Cricetulus griseus: one gene and its partners. The protein of the gene in region 4 purifies or fractionates together with the protein of the main gene of each other region. This does not show direct contact. Links are inferred from orthologs where the notes say so. Each region holds a gene or a part of one and is shown on either strand. Other genes may lie near its edges.

Evidence for each region.
Region 1: the proteins of Ralbp1 (region 4) and Ccdc6 purify together in Homo sapiens (affinity purification with mass spectrometry; 3 studies listed by BioGRID and IntAct, counting the BioPlex papers as one, with this or other methods). This does not show direct contact. The link is inferred for Cricetulus griseus from reciprocal best matches to the Homo sapiens genes RALBP1 and CCDC6.
Region 2: the proteins of Ralbp1 (region 4) and Reps2 purify together in Homo sapiens (affinity purification with mass spectrometry; 3 studies listed by BioGRID and IntAct, counting the BioPlex papers as one, with this or other methods). This does not show direct contact. The link is inferred for Cricetulus griseus from reciprocal best matches to the Homo sapiens genes RALBP1 and REPS2.
Region 3: the proteins of Ralbp1 (region 4) and Aak1 purify together in Homo sapiens (affinity purification with mass spectrometry; 3 studies listed by BioGRID and IntAct, counting the BioPlex papers as one, with this or other methods). This does not show direct contact. The link is inferred for Cricetulus griseus from reciprocal best matches to the Homo sapiens genes RALBP1 and AAK1.

Annotation. Positions count from the first base shown.
Region 1 is NW_023276806.1:267,503,275-267,508,394, forward strand, and holds part of Ccdc6 (coiled-coil domain-containing protein 6), read right to left. Parts: intron 1,829-5,120; coding exon 1,728-1,828; intron 1-1,727.
Region 2 is NC_048604.1:97,396,258-97,401,377, forward strand, and holds part of Reps2 (ralBP1-associated Eps domain-containing protein 2), read right to left. Parts: intron 2,379-5,120; coding exon 2,306-2,378; intron 883-2,305; coding exon 829-882; intron 1-828. UniProt on the Homo sapiens protein: Involved in ligand-dependent receptor mediated endocytosis of the EGF and insulin receptors as part of the Ral signaling pathway. By controlling growth factor receptors endocytosis may regulate cell survival.
Region 3 is NC_048601.1:58,729,547-58,734,666, reverse strand, and holds part of Aak1 (AP2-associated protein kinase 1), read right to left. Parts: intron 5,119-5,120; coding exon 4,001-5,118; 3' UTR 1-4,000.
Region 4 is NC_048595.1:454,797,562-454,802,681, forward strand, and holds part of Ralbp1 (ralA-binding protein 1), read right to left. Parts: intron 3,216-5,120; coding exon 3,108-3,215; intron 1,972-3,107; coding exon 1,850-1,971; intron 1,673-1,849; coding exon 1,549-1,672; intron 1-1,548. UniProt on the Homo sapiens protein: Multifunctional protein that functions as a downstream effector of RALA and RALB. As a GTPase-activating protein/GAP can inactivate CDC42 and RAC1 by stimulating their GTPase activity.

The sequences.
Region 1 (5,120 bases), on a different chromosome or scaffold from region 4:
ACCTGATGTAAATCCCCAGTACCCACAGAATGATGGCTCACAAGCATCTGTAATTCTAGTCTCAGGGACCCAATGTTCCCTTCTGACCTCTGAGGGCACTGCACATACGTAGTTCACAGACATAACAAAATAATAACAATAGCATCAAAAGTCACTGTCGTGCTGGCCAGGGCCCAAACTGATAAAGCCAAGACATTTCTACCACACTGTCCTAACTGCAGTGGCTCTAGAGCATCATATCCCCTTTAACAACCTTAAGGGAAATCCTTGTTTTAATCATGACCTCAGACAAAACAAACCACAGTCCTAACAAACCCTTTGCAAGGCCACCCCTATGGTGCTACTCCTCCAGCCTGGCACCACCGACAGACTTGTCCCTCAACTCTACCTGTAGCTTGTTCATCAGCTAGCAGTGTGTCAGACTCTACCTTCTGCCTGATACTCCTGGCACCCACCCTCTGCCTCACCTCCTCATCCTCATCCTTATGGGATGGATCATGTACTTGTCCACCAACATGGGAGTCCCAAGCAGTGCTGGTGCTGGGCCCAGGACACTGAGGAGTATTTTGGGGGTCAGATGAATAAAAGCATGCCAGGAAAGAAAAGCCCTGAATATCAAAGGAGAAGAGGAACAGCTGCCTTGTTTCTTCCTGGTCTTCCAGGCCTCGCTCACAAATCACTCAAGTATCAGAAGGCAGCTCAGGCTGGGAGGAACACTGGTTTTGGACAAGGAAGCCCACCCTGGCCTCTTCACCGGCCCGATGACTCAAGAGATGGTAAGTCACGAATGGCTGTTTCTTGTCCTGCCAGGTCCCGCTGCCCATTCAGCCCCAAATAAGCACACAGACGCTGTATTAGTTCTAAAGCTGTTGGCCGATGATTAGGGCTTCTTACTGGCTAGCTCTGTCTTAATTATTAAACCATTACTATGAATATATGTATTTCTTCATGGCCTTATCTTACTGGAGAATACCTGGCGCGTCCTATCTTGTGGTTGGTTCTCTTTTTGGCGGGCTCCCTCTACCTACCTTTCCCAGAATTCTCCGCATCTCCTTGCCCCGCCTATCTTCCTGACTCTATTCACCAAACAGTGTTTTATTCATCAACCAATAAGAGAAACACGTACACAGAAGGACCATCCCCCATTAGCTTCTCCAATTTTAAAACAGGAAGAAGGATGCCTACAGTATCACTGAGAACAAAAGTGATATGAACGTAGTGGGAATGCAGTGAAGGAGCCCCACAGAAGACGCACGGTAGAGCATCTGGGAAGTCTACCCAGGAATCCTGCCCATCCCCTGAGACTGAAAGAAGACTCACAGTCTTCTTTCAGAAAGGAGTAGTTTTGAGATCAAATTTAGGTTTAAAATGAATCCACATTTAAAGCTCAGCGGATACTGAAGAAGAGGCAGACAGATGGTGTGAAGTCCTTAAAAATAAAAGTTGAAAAATAAAACACTAAATAATAAAATAATAGCAGCAAACAAAACAAAGCACGCAGTCCTTGTGTTTAAGTACGGACGGTGACTTATTTTTGAAAAAACAAACAAACAAACAAAAAACACAAAATAGAGGGGAACATAACCAGGGCTGCCGATAAAACGTATCAGAAGAGCTAGCTGAAAATTGGTGGGGAGGACTCAGCTAAACCCATGTGAGGCCCAGTCCCCACTCCCCGAAAATCCACCGGAAAACAGCTACACTGCGGTAGCGGAGGACACACTCACCGGGTGATATAGGTCTGCTTGAACTGGGAGAAGGCGTGTAAGGGATTGGGCTGGACACAGTGCGAGGTCTTAGTCCTTGTGCAGACATCTCATTAAAATACCTAAAAGAAGAGAGGAAGAGGGAGTTGAAACACCCGTGTTCAAGTGGTCCCTAGAAGACATCTTAGTAGAAACGGTGTGAATGCACAACTTGAGGTTAAAATCCAGGCAGTTGGCGAGGCTGTACCCAGGGGACATTTCTAGTGAGGACTCCTGAGTCAAACTGCTCCAGTTTGACAGACCTCACCACCCCCAGAGGCCTGTCATAGCCATGCCACACATCACAGTGACCCCAGAAGCACAGACATTTATTTATGCTTACTTTTCTATTTGAAACCCAATACCAAATAAGCTCACCAATATTTAAGCTATCCCATTAAGTTTAAAGACACATATGCTCCCTGGGGTTGAGTGTCATACAGTCACAAGGCAGTCTCTGCTAATGGATAGTCACACATTAGAACTTAACAGAAGAAGATACCAGTGCTAAGCACCTTCGGCAGGTCACGCTCAGCCACACTGTGCTGAGTCTAAGCTTCCACCTGACTTTTAAAAGTCACGTCAGCCCCGAACATGCTCAAGTGTGATCATTGGGACCATCGGCTTTCACTCCGTGATCCAAGTCCAGGGTGCTGATGGGAGGGAATTTCTGCTTGACAGACTTCCTGTCAAACCGTCCTCCCTGGCTTTAAAGCTAAACAGGCATGTACTTTCATCCCAGAGTACTGTCAGCCCTGGCGCTAATCCCAGCAGGTTAATGGAGCCTGACTGACAGCTAAATCATATGCCTGCCTCTTTGTCTTCGTCTCTTCTTTAAAACAGCCCACCATGGTAAAACCAGGTAGGACCTTTCTTTGTACTGTACATGCAGGCATGTGGTTAATACCACCCCCCTTTAAGTGGTCTGAAGTGTCTGAAGTTTGCTTTCTCTGAGATCCACCACTTCCGTTATCTGTCCTGGGATGCAGAGTGGTACTGAACTAGGCAACTTCATTGTACCTGGAATAACTTATGGAAGAATAAAAGCAGGGCTGGGGATGCAGCTCAGCTGGCACAGTACTTGCCCAGCATGCACGAAGCCCTGGGTTGTGCCTCCTGAGGTGGTAAGAGGGAGGAGAAGATATTCTAAGCTGATGGAACTTGAAAGCAAGTAGGTATCGCTGATGAAACATCTAACAAAGTAGACTTCAATTGAGAGTTAAGTCAGGAGAGGTAAAGAGGATGTATTGGTTTCATAAATAATTACCATGGGGTGTAAAGACACAGACTTAAGCAGTAATAAGGGAGACTTCAGTTCCCATGCTCACCAAGCAACAGGCCATCCAGACCGAAAGAACTAACAAAGAAACATCAGTCAGATATCACAGATGAAATGGAACAGACACCTTAGATGATTCCACTCAAAACAGTGCAGGATACGCATTCTTATCGGGAGCCTTTGGACCCTTCTCCAAAATGGATCACATCTTAGGAACAAAGCAAGTCTTAGCAAGTAATTAAGAAAGTTTAACTAACTGCTTGCATTCTACCTGTTCACACTGGAGCAAAGCTGAAGAGAGAACACAAAAGGTCACGGAGAATAAATAACACAGCACCAAATGATAACAGGTCATGGAAGAAGCCAGGAGGGAAATTAAAAATTCCCAGAATTCAGTGAAAACAACAGAGTATCAGAACCCGAGGATAAAGAGGTAAGAGAGAGAGAGAGAGAGAGAGAGAGAGAGAGAGAGAGAGAGAGAGAGAGAGAGAGAGAGAGAGAGAGAATGCCAAATTCAAAACTCAATAAATAGAAATACCAAGATCAGGACAGAGGCTAATGAAATGGAAATAACAACTAATAATAATAACCAATGAAACAAAGTGTTGGTCCTTTGAAAAGATAAGTTTGACAGAGCTTTAGCCAAACACACACAGAGACAGACACCAATCAGATTCAAAGGGCCATTAGGGTACAGTGTGAAAACCTACACTCTAAAATATTGCAAGTCTACAAGAAATGGATACACTTTGAAACACACACAACTAATCAGAACTAAACTGAGAAGACATAAGCCACTAAGAGCTCAGACAGAGTCCATCTCAAGCAATGAGATTGACTTAGTAACCCAACTAAATACAATTTTAGAAGTCCAGGCCCAGAGAACTCGATGCTGAGTTCCACCAGACATCTAGAGAAGCAACACCAAAGTTCTTCAACATACGCCAGAAAGTAGCAAAGAGAAGAACACAGCCACATTCAGTTCACATAGCCAGTATTCCTGATTCCAAAACCAGGTCAGGACTAACAACAGCAAATTAGAGGACCATCTTTCTTCTGGGCATAGATTCAAAAATTCCCACTAAAAAAGCTTGTAAATGGGATTGACTATACATCAAGAAGAGCATTTGCCATGACCCAGTCAGTTTGATTTCAAGAATGCAAGGATGGCTCAACACACTCATGTCAATAACTATATCAGCAGTCTCCTAGTGGAAACTGCTTCACCATTTCCATAGTCCAACATCCTTTTACAACAAAAGACCCAAGGAAACCATGGATAGGAGGGGTATAGCTCAACATAATAAAGGATATATGCAGCAACCTGATGGCCAACATCATATTGAATAGGAAAGTCTCAAAGCAATGCTACCCACAGCAGGACTGTGACAAGGATGCCCACTTACTCAAGTATGTCCATGAAGCCTTAGCTAGGAGAAAGCAGACAAAAATAAAATTGATATGAATAAAGAGAGGAAGAAATTGAACAACTCCTATTTGTATATACTATTTGTTACACAAAATAATCCCAAGGACTCCATGTGAAAACCCTTAAATCAGATAAACACTTTCAGAAAAGTAACAAGGTACAAAAATCAACATCTAAAAACTCAGACTTTCTATATACCAACCCTGGCAAGGAATAAATCATGGAATTAAAAACCTAGGAATAAAACTAAACCAAGAAGTTAAAGACCTCAACGACGATGATAAAATTTAAAACTCTGAAGAAAAGAAATTTGATAAAGACCCCAGAAGATGGAAGAAGTTCCCATCGGCATGAATAAGCAGAATTCCTATAATGGTATTTGCAGTCCTCATCAAAATTCCAAAGGTATTCTTCATAGACATGGGAGCGGGGAATCCAAAAATTGAGAGACAAGCACAAAGGACTCCAGAGAAGCAAAGCAATTCGAACAAAAGGAACAGAGTTCACAGTGTCACCATGTCCGATTTCAAGTTATACTACTGAGTCACAGTCATAAAAACATCATGGCACATTGATAAAATAGGCAGAGGCAAGATTAAATCCATGTAACTACCTGACTTTTTGAGAAAGACACAAAAATATACACTGGAGAAGGGACAGCCTCTTT
Region 2 (5,120 bases), on a different chromosome or scaffold from region 4:
GGGGGCTGGCTAGAGAGATGGCTCAGCAGTAAGAGGGCTTACTGTTCTTGCAGAGGGCATGAGTTCAGTTCCAAGCACCCACATGGCAGCTCACAACCATCTGTAATTTCAGTTCCAGGGGATCCGACAACCACTTATTGAACTCCATGGGCACTGTACACACATAAGGTACAGGCACAGGCACGCGCACACACGCACGCACGCACGCACACACACACACACACACACACACACACACACACACACACACACACCACCTCCTCTTAAATAAATAAATAAATAAATAAATAAATAAATAAATAAATAAATAAAATATGTTCGGAAACCCAGGCCCAGACATTCTCTATGGTTTCCCAGTCACATTTCTACTTCTCCCAGAAATGGACCAGCACAACTTCTACTTTTCTTCTGCTTGGAATCTACTCCATGTTTAACAAGTAGCTTCTTGGTAGGGAAGAGGTATAAAGATATTTAAGATTAACACTTTGGTAATGGAAAATACCAACTGTGGGCTTCAGGTTAATTCACCTTATGAGCTCCTTACTTTACAAAGAAAGCATAGGAGTTTATCTGAATCACTGAAATTCTAAGGTGTCCTAATTTTATACTTCTAAATTCAAACTGAGTGAAATCTAAAGTCAGCCTTTTCTGAAGAGAGGGAAATGGTGGAACATCTAAGGCTTCTTGTAACAAAATACAAGCCAAGGTTCTAGAGAAACGAACAGACACACTATCACAGACATAATAATCTTCAAGTTACCAAACAGCTGAGGTTTTTTAATTTAGAAATGATTAGACAGCGAATACATTAAAATGGTTTTCTCCTACCTGTATCCTCAGCCACGTCCTTTGGTAAGGGTTCATTAACAGTACTTTTCAAAGCTAGTAGTATTTTGTTTCATGTTTAAGGAAGAAGAAAGAGAAAGGAGAAGAAAAAGAAAACAAAGGCCTTTTAAATTTTTATTTCTGGGATAAAAGATATTAAAACAAATAATCCCTATCCATCAGTTATAAAAGTGTTACAACCCTCTAGAAGTTGCTATAGAATTTCTAGAATAAACCTCATAGAGCATGGAAACAGGGTCTCCACCTACAGAAGGAAAAACTATTTTCAACTTTCTAAAGAGACAGCCACTAGTGGTTAGGAGGAGTATTACCAAAAAGCATCCCAAATTTCTCCCACTTTCCTTCCTAACAGCCAAATCAATGATGAGAGAATGCTTGGAATTTAAACCCAAGCTTCAATATTCTTAGAGCTTTGCAGCCAACACAAAATTCACAAGTTAGTAAAGTGATCAACAGCAGATAATGTCTAGCTCCACTTGAATTTCCTAAACAAACATTTAAATAGAAAGCAAGACACCATCAGTGCTTAATGGAAACCTTTTTCATGTTTAATGTCTCTGTGAGGCTGAATTAATGGCAGGGCTCAACAATAAAACCTGAAATGGCTTCCCTTCAGACAGGCTTCTCCCACTTGTGAGTGGTGAATTGATATAACAGATGGAATACTGGCTTAAGACAGAAAATCTTGGTTCCTGTCCCAGTTCTTTTTCTTCTTGTACAAGTAGATGATTCATGCTGCCTGTCTGAGCTCAGTTGCTTATTTCTAAATGTTAAGTGATTTCAAAAACATTAGTTTTGTGAGGTCTGTAAAAAGACAGTATGTGAGGAAGGACTTGGTAAATTACAAAAGGATCACACAAAGTACAGGGTTCAGAGGATAGGGTCCTGCCTGCACTTCTGGATACTGCAGGCAAATTAATCCCCATGCCTGAGGGTATCTCTAGCACTGAACACTATGCTGCATGCCTTCTCAGCTACCCAGTAAAACAAGGATATTGAAACCAGGCTCCATATCACACCTCCATAACCACTGGAACAATGAGAAATACATAAAGCTTTAGGATTGACACACTGTATGAAAGAACGAACTTCTTCATGGATTAGACCTGTATGCAAATGTACATTTATGGTAGTTTATTTTTTCAAATCATTTATACCAACACTAGATATTAATCGTCCAATTCTTCTTATTTCCTAACTATGGGACCAGAATCCAATGTAAGGTGTCAAAGTACCCTAAGATTAACAATGACCAATGAATTAAGGGGACTCAGAAACTGAAGCTCATACTACAACTTGTGAATTACAGGCTTCTGACAACAGTTTAAACTACACAATCTATCCAAATGAGTGTACATTCTGAGCACTGCCTCATATGATTTGGAAGCTGTTCCAGGAGAAATAGATGAGGAAATATAGGAAGGTATGCCTATAAGAATAAAACTAATTCTTTTCATACCTTGTTTGTCATCACCAGTAGTCACATCTTGGGTAGGAACAGGAAAGTCAGCCATGTCTTTAGCAGATGTCTTCTTGGAAAAGAAAATTAATTATATGGTTTGAAATAAAAATCAAGTGATAAGCACACATGAATATATGTCTTAAAGGTTATAGTTCATGTCAAAATTTATGTCTTCAGTAAGTCCTAACATTTAATACTATTTTATTAATTTGGTTTCCTGATGAAGTAAACGTGCACTAAAATGTTTATATACATAGAGGAAAGAAATAGGTTTGAGAAACATGGAGATTCATATTAAGGCATATTATTGAATCTTCCATTAAATTTGAATCTTGAGTAGGATTCAACCAGAGTTTTTGTTTGTTTGTTTGTTTTGTAAAATTTGTCTAGTCAACCATCACTAACCTGCCCTTTATAAACTTTTTCATGCAAAGAGGGTATGATAATGAACCCATAGTGGGAATATCTGCCAGGATCTGTAGTGATATTCAGCCTCCTTGTGAAAGAATTAAAAAACTTACTGATGGGCAAATAAAAAATGCCCCTAAAGCTGAGCACAGTTGCACACACCTTTAATCCCAGTACTCGGGAGGCAGAGGCAAGCAGATCTCCGTGAGTTTGAAGCCAGTCTGGTCTACAACTCAAGTTTCAGGACAGTCAGGGCTGGATAGAGAGACCCTGTCTCAAAAAATACTCCTGACTCATAGATGAGTAAAGTTCTAATAAGTTGAATACACAAACTGGTCACATATGAATTGTTTTAAAATAGTGTAAAGTTTACTAACTATAAATTTCCAATAAGCTCCACAAATATGTACTCTAACTATAGCAATATATAGTATGCTTAAAATTTTCACAAAGAGAAGATCTTAAATATCTACTGAAACCAAGCCACAGTGTGAGGTGATGGGGGAACTATGTGGCTTTGACTGTGGTTAACTGCTTCACAATCTGTGTGTGTAAACCTCTATACGTGTATCAAAACATCATAAACATGTGAAATTATATTGGTCTACCCCAAAACTGGAAAATATGTACTCTAAGGCCTCTACTGTGATTAGAGGACAATATCTACTCATATTTGTGTTATGTTTGTATGCAAACTCTGGAAGAATGGCTAGGTAGGTGGAGAAATAAGTGACAGGATGACTTGTCACCAAATGCACTTTGTTATTACATACATTTTAAACATATTTGAAACTTAAGAGATAAATTTTAAAATGCAAAGGAAGGTGATTAAATTCATAGAGGTATTTGGTATCCAATGGTGAACTTTAGTCTGCATCTCAGAACTCAAACAACCACAGAGATAACCCATGCTTCTGGTTTTCAATTGTACTTGGCGGGAACCTGATCAAAAGTCTAACAATCCACATCTAGGTGACTCTTTAAGTGTTAATATTGCTTTTATGGACGGGTGGTGGCACACACCTTTAATCCCAGCACTCAGGAGGCAGAGGCAGATGGATCTCTGTGGAGTTTGATGCCAGTCTGGTCTACACAGTGAGTTCCAGGACAACCAAGGTTAAACAGAGAAACCTCGTCTTGAAAAACAAAAAGCAAATCGTTTTTACAAGATAATGTAATATATATATATATATTAACTCATTTTAAAGTAAAAAGATTTTGTTTATAACTGCAGAGAAATGACTACACAGACAGCTCCTATATCCACTGAGTTATGTGATGAACTAGAAAAAATTTTCTGTGTAGAAAATGGCAAAAATTATAACATTTCCCAGGCTATCCCAATAAATCCATTTAAACCAATAGTAGCCAAATTATACATTCATGGATATTGTTTACATTCTAGGATCCAGAAGAAACTTAGGCCACATTTCTTGAAATAGCCATGTTTTACTTTGTGTACATGATGTTCCAAGTAATCTTTCCCTTCATTTTATTTCTTGAGAAGTTCATATACAAGTGCTGTGTTTATATCATTTCTACCACATACTCTCTTCCTCCAACTCCTCCTATGTCCTCCACTCCTTTCAAACTCATGACCTCTTCTTCTTTCACAATTATTTTATGAACATATGGATATATGATGCAGCCTGCTAAGTCCATCTAGAATTGCTTGTATGTACATGTATTTAGAGCTGAGTACTTACTTGGTACTGGATAACCTATCAGGAATCTTGTCCCTAGAGAAGACTGATTGTCCCTCTCTTAGCAATCATTCATTTCCTATAGCTTTTCATCTAGAAATAATCCAATGATAACACTAGTTGACATTCCAATGTGGAAGAAGGAAATCTCACAAGGCCCTCTCACTTCTTGATTTATACAGTATCATTTTTCTGTAGGCTAATCCATAGTCCACATCTACATTTTAGCCGTTCCTTCTGAAAGGCAGCTAACATGTCCTTAAATCCACTTGGCATTGCATGCTTTCCTATCCTAATAGGTGATTCTCCACACTACAATGAAACCCCCAAAAGTCATTTCCTATTCACCACCTATTACTTATAGTAAGCTATAGAAGAAGTCTTTTTTTTTTTACAGTGCTGGGGATTGACCCTAGAGTCTCATAGCATTCTAGGCAAGTGTTTATGCCACCAAACTATATCCCCAACCTGTTTTTCTGTTTTTCTTTTGAGGCAAGTCTCATTAAGTTTCCCAGGTCAGCCTTAAAATCATTCCATAGCCAAGAATAGTCTTGAGCTTATAATCCTCCAGTCTTAACATAGGAAACAGCTAGCAATACAAATGTGGCCAGGCAATAGTGCATTGCTTTTATTGTCTTCTCCTACCCAGATCGCATTAGAGAAGAAAGTAGTCTAGGGATAAAAAAAATGCAGATAAAAAT
Region 3 (5,120 bases), on a different chromosome or scaffold from region 4:
AGTGAAGAGTAGCTGAAAACACATGGTCCAATATGTAAGAAATACACAACAGGCCAGTAAGACAGCGCTGTCTGAACATCTAGAAGATCTCAGTTGACAGATGAAACTGAGACACAACATGGGTTAGTGAGTGGGATACTGTTAGCACACGCGCACACACACATACACACCCTGAGGCGTGTGACAGTGTACAGGCCTTCAATCTCACAAGTGAACCAAGACAGCCTGTATGAACTAAAATCTGCATTCCATCTCCAGCTTCTGTTCACTTTCCTGACTAGATTGCTCATGATAGACCCATCTATGGCTCTCTGTCTCCCACTACCATAGTTAATTAAATCCAATGGTTGCACATGCTGGGTAAGCATTCTACCACCTAAATACAAAACCAACCCTCTTGAAATTTCAATATTAAAATCTTGCTAAGCTGCCCAGGCTGGTCTTGAACTCACAATTCTCTTGCCTCTGGGATCATAGGTGTGCCTGCCACAGATATTCATTTCATTATTTTATTTCATTTGTTTTGGCGCTAACCATGGACTTGGTGCTAAAGAGCTGTATTGTAAGCCTAAGAAATTGGTGAGACATTTTCCATTACACAGAAGTTAACTCTGTTAACAGTGCTCATTAGTCAGCTAACAGGGAAGAGCTCACGGCTTCACCTATGCCAAGTTCCCTCTCTGAGCTATGTCCCCAGCCTAGCACATCATTCAGGAGTTCATTAGTACATGATAGGCTTAAGGCTTTGTCTAAGGATATTCTGACTCATCTCTTTCTACTGAGTCAAAAGTTGACAGTCTCCTGTGTTTCCTATGAAATATACAAAGCAACTAACACACAGCAGAAATTAAAACAAAGTGCAGGACTTTGTTGACAATGTTTCCCCTTCCTTACTAAAAAAAACTGTTAGAGTACGGTCACTGGGAACCGGCTATTGGTTCATAGACTTTCAGCACTCCTAATTACCTGTAAAACAAACTTCCAAATATCCACTCAGGATGGCCTCCCACCAGGACACTGGATCTTACCCACTGATCCTGTAATCCACACTCTTCCACAGCACTTCCTTCAGAACTCATCTGTCAGCTAGTCTCTTGTCAGATTTCCTTCACTAACTGCCGCATTAAAAAAAAAAAAAAAAATTGCATGTGGTCACATTCATTTCCTATTCAAAGATGGTAGATAGACTTTCCACTCAGTAGATAAAAACAGGCCCGAAAGCCCATACTTCACAAATGATCAAATGATTCAACTATATAAAATAAAGAGTCCATGATTTTATCCTAATTTGGACCTTGTGAATTATAATGACTATTTAATTAGATGGAGTGATACAGTGATCAAAGTTACAGCAGTTTGCAGCACTGTTACATAGCTGATGTTGACATTGCATTCTCAAATTTCTATTCAAGAGATGGGTCCTTGTATGTTGCCAAAGCTGGCCTTGAGATCCTGGGCTCAAGCTGTCCTTCTGCCCAGCCTTCTAAGTAGCTGGGACTACAGGTGTATGCTGCAATCCGGCAAGAGTCTGTGACATCAAGGGAGGACTCTGAACATTCCCATCCTTTTTGCACATGACTTGGAGGACTTCACCTGACAAGAAGCATGGGAAGTTTGGTTGCAAAGTTCCATGTACATTAGCCAAACTACTCATTTAACAGAAAGACCAGTTTGTATCCACTAGTATAAAAATTTCAAAAATAATAACTTTGAGAAATCAAATTCCTAGAGAGAATAGTTTACTGAAGTGAAAGGCAGGTTTCTAGTGGAGTCCTCACTTGGCAACCACTGCTGGGGGTGGGGAGGAGGGAGGATGATATATGCCTGTTATTTAAACAGGTGTAGAACACCAAAAAGAAAAGTACTGAAAATAGCTCCCTTTTTCCCCTCCTAAGACAGGCTTTCACTCACTGGCTGTCCTGGAACTTGCTATGCACACAAGGCTGGCCTCACACTCACACAAATCCACCTGTTTCTGCCTTATATGTTCTAGGATTAAGGTGCCTGCCACCACACCCAGCAGAAAGTAACCACTCTTATGTTACCGTCCAGAGTCTTGGGTTTTATCATTTTTTTGTGTGTGACAAGGACGGAACCCAGAACATGGTGCATGCAAAGCATGTATTCTTCCACAGAGTTGTACAGCCAAATCCTAACTTTCAAACTCAAAAGGACATCACAACTAATTGAGTGCACGTGCAGCCTGGCATTTAGGCTTCATGACTGGATGGATTTTAGGTAATTCTTCTTTTATTTTTTGGGACAGTGTCTCATGTAATCTAGGCTGGCCTTGAGCCTGCACCCCCTAAGTGCCCTGCTAACAGGAGTGTGCTACCATGCCTGGCTTCTAGTCATTTTTATATCACTAATCTAGTTTGGTGCACAACTCTCCACACTTCCCCCAAGCACGTAGAGGAACTGTATGCTAGAAGCTGTAAGTATGCACGGAATTTGGTACAGACTCTTTCCATTAAACTCAACTTCCTCAACAGAAACCTCCCGGTGGAGTCACAAGTTTTCTTTTAAGGCTCTAAAAATGGAGAATATGAGAACACTAGGAATGAGTCAGAGCTTTCCAGAAATAAAAACACACTTCTGAAAACACAGCCAGTCACCTGTCTGTTCTACTTTAGCATCTGAACGGAACAGACAATTTAAAGATCTGTAAGGACAGCTGACCAGTTCTTTTTCATTTTCAGCTTACTCCTAGGTATCAGGTTTGTACCCACTCAAGAGGCAACAGACATGTATGGGAAGAGGTGGGGGTTGGGTGCAGGCAAACTTGGCTTGTAGCTTAGGTACATTATGAATGAATTTCATAATAATGATACCCAGGAAGGATTTCCAGTGACTGGAACTCTAAAGACATTCTTCCCCTGTTGCCACAGAAAAAAAAAAAAAAAGGACCAGTGACTTTTTTGAGTAGGAGAGGGTGTTGAGATATGGTGGCTTGGAATTCAGTATTAAGGCCAGGCTAGCCTCTAACTTGTGGCAGTCCTCCTGTCATAGTTTCCTAAGAGCTACAGGTATGAGCTACCATGTCCATTTTGGGAAATGTGAGTTTTCAAAACCAGGTAAATGGAATTTTAAAAATCTACTCTGAAACCTCAGTTCCAGCAGGATTGCCCCATACGGTCTAACAACTTCAATTTTACCATGAGAAAAACATCCAAATAAAGCCAAGGTTCAAGTCAGGTCAACAGGCAAACATAAGAAAATGATTTGATAATGGAGGTAGGCATGGTGGTTTCACTCAAAGGAAAATGTTTCTTGTACACACACACACACACACACACACACACACACACACACACACACACACACGTATCCATACTAGTCTAAAAAGTGGACCATGGGAAGGCAGAGTGAGCTTTTTCCACCTGTGTGCTCTTTTACAAGACAGAGAATCTGAGCCACATCATGCACCCAGACATTTGTGCACAAGGGCCAGCTAGGCTCATATGGAATCAGTGAAAGATCCTTTGAGAGCTGCTGGCTCCACAAGAATGAAAGATGAGTGTGGCAAAAGGATTAACTTCTTTAGACGTGCAGTAGGTTTATATTGCTCTTTTTTTTTTTTCTAGAAATCTCTCTGTTCCAAGAGTATTGTCAAGTCTTGGAGAGAATTCATCTTGACTCTTCAAGTGACTCCCAATAGGAGCTGCAGGCATTCAAAGTTGTGGTGTAATACAGCCTCTGGTAACTGGGGGTAAAATATTCCTTGATTAAAAAGGTTTCTGGGCAGGAAAGAACCAGAATTCTGACTGCAGGTGGAAGGCCTATGTGAAGGACCAGAAATACCTACAAGTCCAGAAAAGAGTTTAAACAAAAAAAGGAAGTGTAACATAAAGAGCAACCTTGCTAGTTGCCTTGAAGTGATTCTGCTCTGAGGCAGGGAACTACAAGGTCACAGTGGATACTCCCTGGAAGGCCTGCCAGGAGTGGTGTGATGGGTGCTGGTGGGGTAGGTAGAGACAGGCCTCAGGCTGGGCCTCTGCTCCTAGGGTTTCTGTTTGCCTGCTTTTGAAGGGAAGGGCGCTAAAGCAAAAGGGTCAGCAGCGGGCAGCTCTGTAGTCCTGGAGGACAGAGATGTGACAGACACAGAGCCAGCCAGCAACTGCTTATTGCTTTGTGAAACAATCTTGTAGGCAGCGATGGGCTGGGCTTCTGGACTTGACTCATCTTCTGGGCTATAGTGTCGGGAATATTTGGACAAAGCCTGGGGGCGGAATTGCTTGCCAGCCACCGGCCCAGAAAAGGCTTCTTTCTGGGGCTGCAGGCCTCTGTTTCTGTCACTGGGATTACTCCCAGATTCCATGGGAGAACCTCTGGGAGAGCTGCTGTCAAAATGGTCTGCCACCTGGACAGAGTGGGAAGGGAGACCAGCCTGCTGCGTAAAGACACCCTGCGTCTGGGCAGGGGTGTACATAGCTCTATCGAGGCCTGGAAGCAGGGGCCCTTCACCAGGCTGACTGAGGCCGGCCTGCACTGGCAAATCCTGTGAGGAGCCCTGTACGGCCAGTAACTCCTCCACACTCCTCTTCTTGGTAAAAGGAGCTCTGGAGAACACGTCCACCTCCTCTGTCTGGGAAGGAGCTAAACTGCCCTTGGAGACAAAAGGGGCTTTGGAGAAAATGTCCATGTCATCTGCTGGAACCAGAGAGCTCCTGAAGGGGGCTGTGGCAAAGACATCAGGCTCTCCGAGACCATCTGAGGCCTGCTGGTTGACTGGCAAGAACTGGCTCTTTTTCCCGCCTTGTCCCCCCTTTTCTGGGTTAGCAGACACTCCAGGTTCAGAGAACAGAGTGGCTTCTGCCAGCTTCTCCTGGGGAGGCCTGCAGCTCTCATCCTCCTCTTCAGACTCCAGAAGGAGAGGCCGAGACCCGCTGCAGTCCAGCACGTCCCCCTCCAGGTCGGTGCCCTCCTCCTCACTGCTGTGGAAGGAGCTATTGCTGGAAGGCCCCTCTCGGGTCAGGGAGTCAGATTCTAAGGTGTTCTGGGTCTTTGTTCCAGGAACTCTGCAGGGATCTGGATAGAGGGCGAGGCCTTTGGCACCCACGGGTTCTTTAAAGTGCTCTACAGTAATTACAGGACAAGGACTGGGCTCTCTCTGGAGACCT
Region 4 (5,120 bases):
TGCCTGAACGCTTCCCTTCCCTACTGAGCAGCCACTGTGGCCCCAAGCGAGAAAGCGCTGATTAACAGGCCTCGAAATCCGCACAATAAACATTACTCTAAGTCTGCCATTCATCCCCTGTGCAGTAAAACAGAGAGATTAATCTAAGTTGCCAATGTGGTCTAAACAACAGAATCTCCAGCCACCCATGGCTCACCCCTGCTCTTCTTCCCCTTTTGTTTTAAGCATGGTCTCACTCTGTAGACCAGGCTGGTCTCAGTCTCACAGAGAGCTACTGCCTCTGCCTCCTGAGTGCTGGCATCACTTAACAGGTACAGGTGTGTCCACATGGAGATCAGAGGATAGCCTGGCCTGCAGGAGGGAGCTGTCTTCTTCTAAGTCAGGCCCTCAGGCTTCAGAGCAGCAGCAGGGTCACCTGCAGGGCCACCTCCAGGGGTCCCTTTTCCTTTCCTGAAGGACAGATTCCTGCTGCAACAGGTGTATCCGCCCCTAACACTGCCAACTCTCCACACAGGCAGTGGATGGGCAGAGGTCCTGGGCAGAGATCCTGGGCAATTCTTAGATTCTTTTTAATTTTATTTATTTTTATTTTGTGTGCACTGGTGTTTTGCCTGCATGTATGTATAGATGTGAGCTGCCATGTGGGTGCTGGGAATTGAACCCAGGTCCCCTGTGGATGCCAGGAATTGAACCTAGGCCCTCTGGAAGAGCTGCCAGGGCTCTTAACCGCTGAGCCAACTCTCCGTCCCCTAAAATGATTGTTTTCATATCTTCTGTTGTTGTTTTTGAGCCCAACTGTCCTGAAATCACTGTGGACCAGGTTGGCTGCTAACTCAGAAATCTACCTGCCTCACTCATTAGTGCTAAGATTATAGGCATGAACCCCTAAAAGCCCAGCTTCTGAGCAAATCTTGACTCCCATGTGGGCATGGCTATGCTTTGCTTGTCAGTTCAGTGACTGAATGAAGCAAGCTGTCCCTCTAACAAATTGGGGATAAGAAAGGAGATCACGTACATCAGCCCTTCCCTTCCCAGCAAGCTGCTGCCCGGGGCTTTCTATCACACCTACTACAAGGTGTGACAAGGACTTCAAGACAACTGTCCCTCACTTCACCATCCCATCCCATCTTCTCCAGTGGGAAGACCAGACCATGAAGAGCTGCTAGGGTCAGGGACACCCACTTTTTAAAGACTCCAAAGAGAAAGGTCCCTTTGTACACTAACGTCAAGGTTACCACACTTCAAGCAGCTAAGAATTGGCTGGGCAAGAATGCACTTGGCCTCCTCTCTACAAGTCTGCAGTGGGAAAATAGGTGGTCGGGAGCACATTAAAAATGACTGGTTTCAGCCGGGCGTTGGTGGCACACGCCTTTAATCCCAGCACTTGGGAGGCAGAGGCAGGCGGATCTCTGTGAGTTCGAGGCCAGCCTGGTCTACAAGAGCTAGTGCCCGGACAGCATCCAAAGCCACAGAGAAACCCTGTCTTGGAAAAAAAAAAAAACAAAAAAAAAAACAACTGTGTTCTGACTGTTGCCCTCCCAAACTTACTTCCAGCTCCTCATTCTGCCTCTGTAGGTCTCCCAGAATGACCTGCAGCTCCTCCTCGTCTTCGCTCTCGCTCTCGCTCTCAGAAGAGTACTCTTCAGTCTCACTCCGGCCGTGCTGCTGGCGACTGTGAGAAGACAAAGGGAACTTCACTGTGGCTTGGTGGCCAGCTCTCTGAGGTCCACCCATGCTGTTCTCAGACTTGGTAAGAAGCTTGAGGTGATGGGTTTCAGACATGTTTGCAGGAGGGTTTAAACATTCTACCCCCATTTAGACAACCCAGCGGAACGCCCGCCCCCTTTACCTCTGTATCTCGGCGATCTCAGCGCGGAGGCGTTCGATCTCCTCCTTCTCCGAGGCGATCTGACGCCGCAGAAACTGCTCCATGGCTAGGAGCTCCTCCTGCTCAGTCAGGATCTCATTTTCCTGAAACGATTGCAGAGCACCCTTCCAAGTTCTGGTAGAGGAAACGCCACCTTTCCAGGGTCGCCCACCCTGCTCAGTGCTGAACACAAGTTACCTCAACCAAAGCCACACTATTTCCTCAGAATCAGCCGAGTTACACGAAGCTGTTTTGAGAACATGTAGACTCTCCCTATGAGCCTACCACCCAAGACCAGGGGGCAAAGGTCAACCTGCCTCAGCTTCCTGGGGGCTGACCAGAGTACTCAGCAGTTAGGAGTACTTGCTCTTCTTCCAGAGACGCCGCCCCCCCCCCCCCCCCAGCTCCCAGCACTCACACTGGAGAACCCACAACAACATGTAAGTCCAGCTTAAGGAGATCTAACACCCTCTTCTGGCCCAGCAGGCACCTGAACATACACACCTGAACAACACATACACACAGATAAATAAACACAATCTAAAACCCGTCTACTCTGACTCCCTGTCTCTCGGGGTTAGGGGTCACCAGGAACAGAAGAGCCCAAGAGATGATGTGTGGCTGGTCTCACGGCAGATGTAAGGCAGACCAGAGAGAGAGAGAGAGAGAGAGAGAGAGGGAGAGAGAGAGGGAGAGAGGGAGGATGGGAGGTCACAGGTCTTCCTCTCGGCATCAGCCATGCCCTCCAGACACAGACAGCAAGAACTCCACAGATAATCACACACAGAGTCCCTGTTGCTCGAATCCAAGTCTTCCACCCTGGAAAGCAGTCAGCAGGAATGAGGAGCTGCAGGAACAGCTTCAGCATCCTTCTAAAGAGGAGCCACGTGGCCATGCCCCATAAGGACTGAAAGGCTATCAGGCACCTCTCCTTTGCCTCAGGGTACCTACGTATGGAGGTAACACTCCAAGAAATCTCAGACGGAAAATCTTTAAGGTAGTAAACCAGAACTTTATTCTCTCCTGTAAATCAAGAAAAATGCCTACAACATGAACTTGTGTGGACTGATCAAGACTAAGAAACTAGGTAGCTTCTCCTCCACACAACAATTCAACAAACACAGCACAGGGTAAGTCCTTGGGAGTCACTTTACAATTCTGGTTTAAAAAGTCTATAGTTGAGCTTCTATTTGGAAAATGGCCAATAAATGACTTCAGAAATGAAAAGAGTTTAGCTTACCTGGGCAAGCAGGATATTTATAACTTCCTCGTTTTCATTCATTTCTTCTTTGGAAACGTCCTCTTTTGAAAGGCTGGCTATCTCCTGTGCAATCTTGGTCTCACACTCCTGTCAAAGATGACAAACGACCAACTGTTGAGCCGGTGTGTAAAACATTCACAAACCAAAATTAAAGAAAACCCTAGCAGCAGTCAGGTGCCCTGTGTGACATGATGGAAGGACATTTGCTAACTGGACTTAGGATATAATTTGGGTAGAACCAGGCGTGGTAGTGCACTTTATTAACCCTAGAACTTAGGAGGCAGAGGCCTGGGGATCTCAGTGAGTTTGAGGCCAGCCTGGTCTACAGAGTGAGTTCCAAGAACAGCCAGGATGACATAGAAAGACCCTGTCACCAAAAAACACAGACACAGAACAAAAGAGAGTATAATGTGGGTAGAGACGGCAAGGTGGCTCAGTGGTAAAGACACTCGCTGTCAAGAAGCCAGACACCCGGAGTCCATCCTTCCCCAGGACCATGTGGTGGAGAGCACCGATTCCTCCAAGCTGTCCTTGGTCGTCCACACGGGTGCCTGGCATGTCCATACCCGTGTGCACTCTCACACACACATAAATAATTAAAAAGCTTAAAGTAAGAAAAGAACACACCAGGGTTCCCTTGGTCTGTGGCTGCACTATGAAAAATGCTCACTTCTGATGAATATGCTCACCAGTTGTGGACCACGCTCGATGTCTTGCAGGGAGCTACCAGGGCTGCCAATCCTAAGGGCCTGATTGAACTCGTTTTACCAAATATATTCAACCAAGGAACCACAGCCACCACCCTATGTTAGGAAAGGTCCCCTCAGCTCTACTACCTGCTGATGCCCAGCAACCACAGACCTGCTGTCTGACTCTACAGCCCTTCTTCCCGTGTTTCTGCTGAACTGACTCAGCAGGTAGCTCTTCAGCTTCATACTTGGCTTTAAGATGCTTTGTCTCCTGTGTTGAGGGGAGTGTTGCCAAGTGACGGCCATGGCATGGATGAGCCTCAACTCCCTGATCCACTCAGGGTCCTCTACTTTTAGCTGTTATAAGCTCTTTACAATGTTCTGTGAAGGCCCATGGGTTGTTGTTCTCTTAGAGGATAAATTTCTGGGTTATACGATAAGTAATCACGTGTAAATTTATAAGAAAGTGCCAAGATGGTATCGTGGTTTAAATTGATACTACATTTTTTTCTTATTTTTAGTCTTTAATCCACTAATGATGCTACTTCTGTTTTTATGTCATTTCTCCTTCAAAGGTGAAGTCAACATGATGGGACCTGGGTTCACAGCAACAATGAATGGATAAATAAGAAGGAAGGAAGGAAGGAAGGAAGGAAGGAAGGAAGGAAGGAAGGAAGGAAAGAAGGAAGCAAAGAAAGGCCAGGCAGTGGCGGTGCAGCCTTTAATCCCAGCACTCGGGAAGCAGAGGCTGGCAGAGGCCAACCTGGTCTACAAAGCTACACAGAGAAACCCTGTCTCAAAAAACCAAACCCCCCCCCCCACTGCCGGGGAAAAAAAAAAAGGCAGCAAGCATCAGGAATGGTAGGAGAGGGAACCAACCTGATAAAATGAAGGTATCCATCCCCTTTTCATACTGCCTCAGGTTTCAATCCAAAATTCTGTGTGTATGTGTGCACCTGTATTTGGGTACTTGGGTGCATATGTGTAGAGGCTAGAGGCCATCTGTTGGGTGTCATTCCCCAATCAGTTCTCTACCTTATTTTTTGAGCCAATGTCTCTGACCGAACCTGGAACTCACAGACTGCTCTAGGGTAGCTGGCCTCACGGGTAGCTCTAGGGTAGGAGACACCTCTCCTGTCTCCACCTCCCCAGAGCTGGGATTACAAACATAAGTCATCGCATCTGGCTTTTATCTGGGTGCTGGGGACTGAATTCTGGTCCTTACTTTTGCAAAAGCAAGGACTTTGCCTTTTGCTGTCTCCATGCCCTACACCATGGTTCTTTTATTCAAAATAGATGTGCA